3 linked regions of the Callithrix jacchus genome follow. The protein of the gene in region 2 purifies or fractionates together with the protein of the main gene of each other region. This does not show direct contact. Links are inferred from orthologs where the notes say so. Each region holds a gene or a part of one and is shown on either strand. Other genes may lie near its edges. The genes, in order: E2F2, TFDP1 and E2F3.

The links.
Region 1: the proteins of TFDP1 (region 2) and E2F2 purify together in Homo sapiens (affinity purification with mass spectrometry; 3 studies listed by BioGRID and IntAct, with this or other methods). This does not show direct contact. The link is inferred for Callithrix jacchus from reciprocal best matches to the Homo sapiens genes TFDP1 and E2F2.
Region 3: the proteins of TFDP1 (region 2) and E2F3 purify together in Homo sapiens (affinity purification with mass spectrometry; 3 studies listed by BioGRID and IntAct, with this or other methods). This does not show direct contact. The link is inferred for Callithrix jacchus from reciprocal best matches to the Homo sapiens genes TFDP1 and E2F3.

The regions. Positions count from the first base shown.
Region 1 is NC_133508.1:60,278,437-60,282,084, forward strand, and holds part of E2F2 (transcription factor E2F2), read right to left. Parts: intron 2,733-3,648; coding exon 2,627-2,732; intron 264-2,626; coding exon 44-263; intron 1-43. UniProt on the Homo sapiens protein: Transcription activator that binds DNA cooperatively with DP proteins through the E2 recognition site, 5'-TTTC[CG]CGC-3' found in the promoter region of a number of genes whose products are involved in cell cycle regulation or in DNA replication.
Region 2 is NC_133502.1:29,048,460-29,052,207, forward strand, and holds the start of TFDP1 (transcription factor Dp-1), read left to right. Parts: upstream 1-1,057; 5' UTR 1,058-1,090; exon of another isoform or gene 1,091-1,510; intron 1,511-1,533; exon of another isoform or gene 1,534-1,957; intron 1,958-2,125; 5' UTR 2,126-2,189; coding exon 2,190-2,201; intron 2,202-3,748. UniProt on the Homo sapiens protein: Can stimulate E2F-dependent transcription.
Region 3 is NC_133505.1:10,309,365-10,313,012, forward strand, and holds part of E2F3 (transcription factor E2F3), read right to left. Parts: intron 2,062-3,648; coding exon 1,950-2,061; intron 383-1,949; coding exon 163-382; intron 1-162.

The sequences.
Region 1 (3,648 bases), on a different chromosome or scaffold from region 2:
AGCCCAAGTACCCATTGGAGGGTACCATTGGACGGGCACTCACACCCACTGGATGTTGTTCTTGGCCTTCTTGCGGATGAGCTGGATGCCCTCTAGCACATTGGTGATGTCATAGATGCGCCGCTTCTGCACGTCCAGCACCTCAGCGGCCCAGTTCAGGTCCAGGACCCCATCCTCGGACTCGCTCAGAAGGTAAATGAACTTCTTGGTGAGCAGCCCCAGCGAGGTGTCATATCGAGTCTTCTCCCCAGGGGATTTGGGGGCTGAGGAAGAAAGGGACCCAGTCACAGCTCAGGGAGTGCCATCTCAGGACTCTCGCCCATTGACCTAGGCTCATCAAGTCCCAACTTTCACCACCCACTTTCCAGTTTACAAAGCACTGTGAGGCAGGGCACCCATCACCACCACTGTCCAGACAGAGAACCTAATACCTAAGAGAGAAGGTGACTTGCTTAAGGTCTCAAAGCCAATGGGTATGTTGGAAGCCAAGTGTCCTTACTCCTGGTTCAAGGCACGTTTCCACCACAGCTTAGAGACGCCATACCCCCACCCACAACTATTGTCGCTGTTCTAAGTGCTTTCCACATACTAACACATTTAAGCCTTACAACACCATATAAGGTTGCTGTACAATCATCCCATTTTACTGATGAGAATACTGAGGCACAGTTTAAGTAATCTGCTCAGCTCACCCAGCTAGGAAGTGGCAAAGCTGGAATTAGAATCCAGACAATCTGGCTCCAGAGTTTTCCTTCTTAACCATTACCCTATCCTGCCACTTAAATGTCAGGAGTTTGGAATTAGAGTAGGACAGGAATGATAAGCCTGGATTTAAGAACATCTTTATAGACACACACTGGCTGTTCCTTCCATGTGAATCCCAGTGATTATCTGAGAATCGGTCCCGTAACATCAAGTGGGGAGGTTCATGAAAAGGTCCTTTCTCAATGAGGCTGATGTTGCAAGACCACATCTCAGCTGAAGCATCTTAAACCGAGGGGACTTTTGTAATCAAGTGACTTCCAAGTCATGTTGCAAGTTAGTGGCCAATCTAATAATTCTGGAACCTGAGTTTTGGAGAGTCTTAGGTTCCTCTGGAAGAGGACCAGTTATCATGAGTCTTAGGATCCTTCAAGACAGTGCTTTGGGCAGCCTTGACCAGTCAATGCAAAGGAAACTTTCTTGCCATTCCTGATCTAGCTGTACTTCCTTTTACACGAGACAACTAAGGTTTACAGGAATGACCTGTAAAACTAGTGTTCCTCCCAAACACAGTTGCTTACACTCCCACTCTAACCAGGAACTTTTTTTTTTTTTTTGGAGATGGAGTCTCACTCTTTCTCCCAGACTGGGGTGCAGTGGCATGATCTCAGCTCACGGCAATTTCTGCCTCCCAGGTTCAAGTGATTCTCCTGCCTCAGCCTCCCAAGTAGCCCAGCTAGTTTTTGTATCTTTAGTATAGACAGTGTTTTGGCATGTTGGCCAGACTGGTCTTGAACTCCTGACCTCAGGTGATCTGCCCACCTCGGCCTCCCAAAGTGGTGGGATTACAGGTGTGAGCCACTGTGCCTGGCCTATCCAGGATATTGACTGAAAATATCAAGAGGCAGCAAGCCCCTCCAACTTAGCTTTAGGAAGGCACCACCTGGGCAACCTCTGAATCTAAAAAACCTGAGGTGGCACAGACTGGATCAATCTGTACTGCCCTTCCCTTTGAATCACTTATTTAGCTCCTTGTCTGCAGGTGGGAGAAAGACCCGGTTAGCCCCTGCTCCTCTGAGCTGGATTCTCAGAAATGTTTACATTGACCTAAATATGAAAACTTTTTAAAAATAATAAATTCCCAAATAAAACACTGGTCATTGCATTTAGAACATGAGAGCAGTACATGGCGTGGTAGAAGTGGTACAAGACTGGCCGGTCGTGGTGGCTGATGCCTGTAATCCCAGCACTTTGGGAGACTGAGGTGGGTGGATCACTTGAGGTCAGGAGTTCAAGACCAGCCTGGTCAATATGGTGAAACCACATCTCTACTAAACATACAAAAATTAGCCAGGCATGGTGGCATGCCCCTGTAATCCCAGCTACGTGAGAGGCTGAGGTGGAAGAATTGCTTGAACCCCAGAGGTGGAAGTTGCAGGGAGCCAAGACGGCACTCCAGCCTGGGCGACAGAGTGAGACATGTCTAAAAACAAAAACAGGCTGGGCATGGTGGCTCACGCCTATAATCCAAGCACTTTGGAGGCCAAGGCGGGTGGATCACCTGAGGTCAGGAGTTCAAGACCAGCCTGACCAACATGGTGAAACCCCATCTATATAAAAAAATAATAATAATTAAAAACAAAACGAAACAAAAAAACACTGAAGTAGTGCAAGACTTACATGTCCAGGCTCAAGTCCTGACTCCATTTTGAAACTGTGGGCAAGTCACTCAAGCTCTCTGAGTCTCAGTTGCCTGATTAGTAAAGGGAGACAGGCCTACCTACCTGCCAGGATCAAGTGAGAAAATGCAAAGGAATCTTTTGTAAACTGGAAAGTGCTCCAAATATGACTCCCAGTGATTAGGCAGGGCGCTGCCCTCTGCCCCTGCCCCACCCCACCCTGAGGCTCCATCAGCACTGCTTACTTTTGGGGCTGGGGAGGCCATCCACTCTGATGCACTTCCCCTTGGGGGTTGGGAACTCAAGGACGGCGGGCCTCCCAATCCCCTCCAGATTCAGCTTCCTTTTGGCCTGGGAGAGAGGTGGGAGAGAGACAGAGTTTGAGAATCATACCTCCTTTAGCCTTTCCTGATGTGGGGCCAAAGTGATAAGGCCACTAGCAGCCACCTCTGTGCCTCAGTTTACTGCCAGTCCTGGTGAAGCACTGCTGTCCTTGATAGGAAAATATCAATGACCTGAGAAGTGAGCTTTCAGGGGAGGTCTTGTTTTCTGAAGGGCCAATAAAACTCTCATCCTCTGAGGCCCAGGCACTTGAGACCCTACCAAAACCAGTCTGGCCAAAGGCTCAGAGTTCCTTAACCACAGGCCCCAAGTCTGCCCCTACACCCGCTCCTCACCCAACCACACCCAGAGGATGATACCAGGAGGAAGCAGTGGGTGGGGCCTAAACCACATCAGGGTGGGGAAAGGCCCCCCATACAGAAGCAGATGGCCCAGCCAGACTGAGTGCCCATCACAGTCCCACAGCTGGTCCTTATCAGGGTGGGGCTGGGCATCCGCCCAGACCCAGGAGACTTCCTGGCTCAGTGCCACACCCCAGGGAGGTGCCCACAGTGGGAAGCAGTGCAAACATCCCCACCCCCAATGTTTGGGCTCCAGCTTGAGGGCCCCAGGGCCTCCTGAATAGACTGCATTTGCCATTCTTTCTTTGCCGAGAGGGGCAGACAATGAATCCTTCCCAAGTCTTAAGGACAAGCAGCTGAGGCCACCCCTTCCCCCCTCCCCAATCCCCCTCTCTGTTCCCGCCAAGCTTGGGAAACACCTGCTGGGGAAATCAAACCACAGACCCATCTGCTCCTCTCCACCCTGTCACCACCCGGGCCCCAATTAGGCCCAGAGCTGCACTGCCCCGGAAAGGGCCTCTCTCCCGGTTAGGGCTGGGCAGGGGCAGGGCAGGGGCAGGACTGGGGCACTGGGACAGTGGGAC
Region 2 (3,748 bases):
TTGGTCAGCTCCTCCCGTCCTCCGTGGATATTCATTAGGCTCCGGGCTCCTCCAGTGCTCTGCAGATGTTCACCACATTCGGTACACACCAGGCTCTGCCACCTGCTGTGGACCTGAACTTCGGACTCTTCTCTGGCCTCGCCTGCCCTTGGCTGCGGTGCTAGGGTGGGGCCATACAGGGTGGATAAAGTCTCCAGGGCTTGGGGACCACCAGGCTCACAATGCAATGGAACTGTTTCTGCAGTTTTCCTTTCCCTGCTTTCCCTCCCGAGTCCCGGGCCAGGCCCCCTCCAGCGAGCACCCAGGATGCTCAGAATTGTTGGGAATCTGGGCGGAGGCTGGGCATGAGCTTGGAGGCCCTACTGGGTCCAGCAGAGGCAGCGGCCTCTGTGCCACGCACACACACACACCTCCTCTCCTCGGTGTGTCCACATACACACGTCTGTGCACACACCTGCTCTCCATACATGCACAGCCCCACACACAGTCGGCCCTTTATGTGCACACACATTCGCGAACACAAGCGCATACCCTCCGTACCTACAGGCACGCATACACCCGACCCCGCTCTTCCCAGTGCACACACCAGCCCCTGCTCCCCCACCACACACACTCGTGCACACACACCTGACACCCGGCCCCCACCTGCTGCCCCAAGTGCACACACAATAGTGTACACTCATGCACACTCGTGCACAAACCAGTCCCCGCTCTCCCACGTGCACACACACACTCTTGCACATAGCCGTTCACCTCTTTCGCCAGACACACAACGTCACAGGCGCTCACAAACGCGGCCCCTTGGCCTCCGAGCGCACGCCGCGCGCGCGCACGGCCTGTTTCAGCGCAGGCCCCGGCTCCATCGCCGCACGCGCACGCGCACACACGGACACGCGCGCACAGCCCCTCCCCGCTCCCCCAGGGCGCGCTGCACTGGCGGGAGGAGCGGGAGACAAGAGCAGCCGCAGAGGAGGAGGAGGAGGGCACCGAAGGCGCGAAAAGGCGCGCAGGCGCGCTGTGCGGAGCGGGCCCGCCGCCGCCCACGTCACCGCGCCGCGCGCACGTCACGCCGGCCCGACGCTCGGCCAGGGTGAGCCCCGCGTCCCGGCGCCACTCGGCCCAGGGCAGGGACCCCGCCACGGCCGGGACCGCCCGGTCTGGCCCCCGCCCGCGCCTCCCCGCGCCGCCCGGCGCCCCGCGCCGCGCCCTCCCTGCGCCCGCGCCCGCGCGGTCAGACCGGGCAGCCAGGTGCGGGCGGGCAGGGGATGCCGCGAGAGACGCGGGCGGGGGCCAGGGGCGCGAGCGGGACCCCCGGCCGTCCCATCCCGTGCCCTCGCTGTGTATAGTCGCCGCGCGGCCCCGACCCGCGCCCTCCCGCGCCCCGCGCGCTCCTGTGCCCCGGAGACCCCGCGTGCTCGGCGCTGGTTGGGGCTCCCCAGGTGACCGCGGGACTGGGGTCCCTGGGTCCTGCCCTCCCGGCCGACAGCAGCGCCCGTGCCCCGCGCCAGAGGTGGGACCGGGGCCGGAGCCGGGGGCAGGGTCGGCCGGAGCGCGCAGGGCGGGGGAGGGAGGCCGCCCCACGGCGGCCCGCGGGGACCCGGTTCCGGCGCGCGCGGGAGGCGCCTCGTGCGGAGGCGGCCCGAGGCCTAGTGACAGGCGCGCGGCGCGGACCCCGGAAGCCCACCTGTCAGAGTTACCGGTCAGCCGGGCGGGCGCCGCCGGGGTCTGGGTGGACGCCGCGAGCCTGCACGTTGCGCCGGGACCCCGGGGCTGCCCCCAGGTGGGTGGCGGGCCCCCGCCCCCACTGCAGCGGCGGGAGGGAGGCGCTGCGCCCTGGCTGGCGGGGCTCGGCCCCACCCTCGGCCGTTGGGCGGGCCGTCGGGGACCTGGGGGTCGTGGTGGTGACCATGCGGGCCCCAGGGCCACTTTTCCATAGGGGGCATTTCCGACTGGCCAGGTGACTTAAAATCGAGTGTGGGAGTTGTTTGGCCAGCTCTGCTCCCAGGATGGAGGGCGCCTTTGGGAAGGAAGGTCCACGTTTTCTTTGAGATGTGTTATTTTTTTAAACTTCTTTTTCATTCTTACTTATTTCTCGTTTTCCCTTTTTTTTTTTTTTTTTTACCAGAAAAATCATTTTTCTTCTCTGGGAGGGTGAACATTTATAGCATTGATTTCCCGGATCTGGTAACATGGCAAAAGATGTAAGTATGTTTGCTTCATGCTCCACACGAATGTTTGCTTCGCACTAAATTCTTTGTAGTTTGCTGCCTTTATTTCAGAATGATAACACATAAGCTACAGTAGTGTTTATTTTCAGACTTTTAAAGCGTCTGAAGCGGGATGAAGGTGAAAGATGGAAGGATCTGATCTCTGAAGCTGTGCTCACCACCGGCTAGTTGTGGTCTTGGATACCACACTGTGCAATTGGGTAGTGCCTTCGACTTTTTGCTTATCTTTAACGACTGTTAATAATTTTGAATAAACTCCTTAGTTAAATGAGGTGGAGGGCATTGCATCCCCACAGCGAATTCCCCATTTCTTGGGAGGCTTCTACATGCTATGAGGGGTGAGGCCAGGGCTCAGGATGTAGCCACCTGCTGGCACCTGTCTTCCTGCAGAGGAAGTTAATTCCACTTGGGTGGACCAAGTGCTAAGCACTTGTTGTGACCACTTTCTCAGAAGGATGAGATGTGGTGATTTATGAAATCTGGTAAAAAATGGTAGCCTGTTTTATATTTGTCATGAAACTATAGAATATTTTGAATAATTTTTTAAACTTGTGTGGGGAAAGGGGCTTTTAAGGCCAGAAATGTAGTCGGTTTTATTGTCATGCAGTTATTTACCATGCTTTATAATGTCAGTCACTGAAACAGCTGGATTTGTTAGTGTTTTCCACCACGCATCACATCGCTCTGTAACTGTGAGTGAAAGGGACTGTTGATGTGTTTACCTACTTACCATGCAGAGCTGGAAACAGGCCACATGTGCTACCTCTGCCTGAGATACAGCGAAAATGCATCCAGAGTGTAGCGCCCTCCATGGGCGCAGATGTTTCAGTGGTCCCTGCAGGATCTTGTGGGGCACCTGCCCTCCTTGACCAATCACCACACATGTAACACAGTGTCCCTGGCTTTAAGCACTGGGGTCTGCTTTAGAGAATGTGTATGAACACCCAGGTAAACCCAGTGTGGCTTTTTGGAGTCACTTGTATCCTCTCCACTGTGCTTGTACCATGCCCTGACCTTGTGTATGCACGCACTCCAAATCCAGATGTAGGCATGTGCTCCACGTTCTGCAGCCATGTTCATTACGACTCCTCATGGTGAGGAGCTGGGCCTAGGACCTTGGTTAGAGCACGCTTCTGGTGTTGTGTGGTTTCCTGTGTGGTTTCCTGAAATGGTTCTCAAACACACTTTGCTATGTAATGGATGGTGTCTCCAGGGCCCTCTTTTCATCCCCCCTTGATTTCATTGGCACTGTCTGTGAGCAACATGTATCGTAAGGCTGGGGGTGGAGAGCGTACAGAAAGGTGTTTAGGTTCTGCAGGACCCTGAATGCTCCATCCAGTGTGGGCATCTGAGATGCAAGGTTTGTCAAGGACTGCATAGGCACGGGGTGGAGGCTCACCTAACCCTCGAGGGTTGTGATCTGAGTTGGGGGCTGGCGCTGGGAGGAGAGTAGGATTCTACAGATGGCGAGGTCTCCTTCCCTGTTCAAAGCCTGGGAGTGGTCAGGAGTGCTGTGTCTG
Region 3 (3,648 bases), on a different chromosome or scaffold from region 2:
ACTTCGACCTTCCGGCTTAGAAGCCGAGGAGGGAAGAGAGAGGAAAACAGCTGGAGAGAAAAGAAAGAACGTGTGGGCATGTATGTGAAAGCGGGAACTAAGAAACGAGGCAGTTTGAAGTGACCCCCTCAGAGCCAGGGCACGGGGACGGCTCCTACTCACATCCACTGGACGTTGTTCTTAGACTTCTTCTTAATGAGGTGGATGCCTTCCAGAACGTTGGTGATATCATAAATCCTTCTCTTTTGCACTTTGAGCACTTCTGCTGCCTTGTTCAAATCCAAGACCCCATCGGGTGACTGGCTCAGGAGCTGAATGAACTTCTTGGTGAGCAGACCAAGGGACGTATCATACCGCGTTTTTTCTGAGGGAGATTTTGGAGCTTAAAGAAAAACAGAAACCAAGCGGGTGGGGGATGGGGGAAAGGTGAAGAAATGAAGGGTGTCTGCAGTGAGGCAAGCTCTTTCCCGCTGCAGCCGAAGTATTAGTATCGGAAGCACGGCTGTCGTTGCTGTTGTCGGCAAGTCGTGGAAAGCTATGGAAGTTCTTTATTAGAAAAGTAAGGGACAGTAAAAATGCCAGGATTTCATGAAAGCACTTTACCTTGAAGGTCTCAAGAGTTTCTACCTTGGCTTACACTAGTCCCTGGCTCTAATCAAGAATTTACACATAGTGGGTGCTAAAAAGTGATCTGTCAAATGAATGAGAGTGCTGTGGTCTCAGGGGACCAGGACACATGGGGCCTACCATGCTGGAGCGAGGCTATGAATCTCACCAGCACCGCAGGACAGGGTCTTAAACACACCCATCACAAATGGCCTTTCAGGCTCTGATATCTGTGTGTGCGTGTATCACCTGTTCACCAATTTTTCTTTTCTTTTCCTTTTTGTTTGGAGACGAAGTCTCACTCTGTTGCCCAGGCTGGAGTGCAGTGGCGAGATCTTGGCTCACTGCAAACTCCACCTCCCAGGTTCAAGCCATTCTCCTGTCTCAGCCTCTCGAGTAGCTGGGACTACAAGCACACACCACCATGCCCAACTAATTTTTTTTTTTTTTTTTTTTTTTGGTATTTTTTAGTAGAGACGGGGTTTCACTATGTTGGCCAGGCTGGTCTTGAACTCCTGACCTTCTGATCTGCCTGACTCAGTCTCCCAAAGTGCTGGGATTACAGGCATGAGCCACCATGCCCAGCCCAATTTTTCAAATAATGCTTAGTTTGAGATATAATTACCTAGAAAAGCCTTCTGCCAAATCTCCCCATCTCTCTTAAAGGAAATTTCCTTATTTAAAATAGTACTTGTTCCCCCACAGGTGCACAGGTTAAGGTTTTAATTTAGTGTCACAGATAATTTGTGAATTGCCTAATGCATGAACTACAGGAGGAGCTAGAACAAAATCTAATTTAGCCCTTATGTTAAATGCAAACACACACATAAAGGACTATTTGGCTATTTCTAGCCTACGTTTCTCTCTCCCACAAGAAATGGTAATAGTATTCGATAGAAAGAAAACCGGCCTGCAATTTATTGGGCTCAATCAATTCTTTCATTTCCATACGCTGAGCTGGAGATTGAGGTCGGCACAGACATTAGTGACTCTGGCATAGTTCATGGACATCCAGTTTGCCTCAGACTCTGAAGCAATGTCCATTAAGGGAAGTTAAAATTAAATTTGATACAGAACGATGCCAAAAGCTCGCATTCGGAGTTGAAAAATGGAACTGCATACAGTTAAACGAAGCCTTCCCTTATGGTACCAGCGTGACTCTGTAGCCTTTCGCTGGTTGTCTGCTGACACTGTATTTATTTTTTTGGATAAGCACAGAAAGAAACGAAAAGGAACAAAACATGCCAGAATTATTCACACCTTGGCATCCTTCCGGCCATAAGCTTTGAAAGTTGGAAATTCCACACCGAGGAGAATAAGGAAAGAGATGAAAGGATCCTTACTTTTTGGACTATCTGGACTTCGTAGTGCAGCTCTTCCTTTGCCCTTGGGGGTTTTTAAACCATCTGAGAGGTACTGGTGACCGCTTTCTCCTAGCTCCAGCCTTCGCTTTGCCTGTAATAAGAAAGTGCGATCTCTCGTCACCGGTCATATGGACAAGAACAAGAAGGGAGGCAGTTTGTGGGCTGGCCTGCCAAATGCTGCGGGCTCGTGCCAGCTCTCACCCCTCTGCTCCACCCCACTCAGCATCTTGTCACTCGCTAGAGCCAGGATTCTAGCACTGGAGGCCAGGCTGTCATGCACACTCACTTCACCTGCCATGATCGTCCGTCCACACCCAGATGGACAAACGCGGCGATCCTCTAGCATTAGGTTCAGCAGTCACTTTGTTCATTGATTCAACACATCATGTGCCCGGCATGGGGCTGGATGCTAAGAATATCGCAGGCGCCATGGGACTTTGAAATTGACTTTCCACAGTGACTCTCTCCTGCCCATCTCCTGTTCTCTGACCTGGGCTGGACCCCTTCCTTACGGACCCCCAAACACTCGGCGTTTATTTGTATCATGACACTTATTAGGTATTACCGTAAGACTTATCTGTTTCTCATTTCCTTTAAGGCAGGGACTGTTTCCCATTGATCTTTGTATACCCAATGCTTGGCACAGAGCCTGGGTTTCTGTAGATTTTCAATCACTCTCTCTATATACTGTATATTCAATGAGAGAAAGAGTAATTGAATAGTAACACAACTAGTCACAGACTACAAACGGTCCTTCATCAGAAAAACAAATACTGCAAACATGCAGTCTTGGGCTTCAACCAGTATTACTTTCTCCATTTTGTCACCAAGCCTGGCAGATGAGAAGCCCTTACCTAAGCTTTTAATTTAACTACAATTCAATTTTAAAACATCCACATAGGGCCTTCTAGGTACTAGGCGTTGGGCTTAGGGAACAGAGGTAAGCAAGACAGATAAGGGGCTTGAGTCCAAGAGAGAAGACTCAATTAAGCAGTTGTTAAGTACTAATTGTGTGCGTATGTCAGGCACCAATCAGATACTCAGCACAAAAATTCGTATTTAGGCTCATTTTCACGCAAATTCTCCTTTTCTTTTTTTTTGAGATGAAGTTTCGCTCTTGTCACCCAAGCTGGAGTGCAGTGGTGTGATTTCAGCTCACTGCAACCTCCACCTCCTGGGTTCAAGTGATTCTCCTGCCTCAGCCTCCGGAGTAGCTGGTACTACAGGCATGCGCCACCACATCCAGCTAATTTTTGTATTTTTAGTAGAGACCATGTTGGACACGATGGTCTCCATCTCTTGCCTCGTGATCCACCAGCCTTGGCCTCCAGAACTGCTGGGATTACAGGTGTGAGCCACTGCGCCCTGTCTATGGCAGATTCTTCTAATGAGGAGATTTGCAATTTCAAAACAACTCCCCAGGATGTGAAAATGTAAGCAATAACTTATTAGTGGAAGACATATCCATCTTCTCTGTGGAAAGTTACCAGCTAACCCTGCACCATCTACCAAGATAGCCACTGGTTTGCTAGCTCATCCAAACTGACACGTGCCGTAAGTGTAAAATAACACTGAATTTGGAAGACTTAGTACAAAACAGGGAACTATCTCAACAATCTCGATAGTGATCACATGTTAAATGAAGTAAATAAAATACAACTGACCCTTGTACAACATG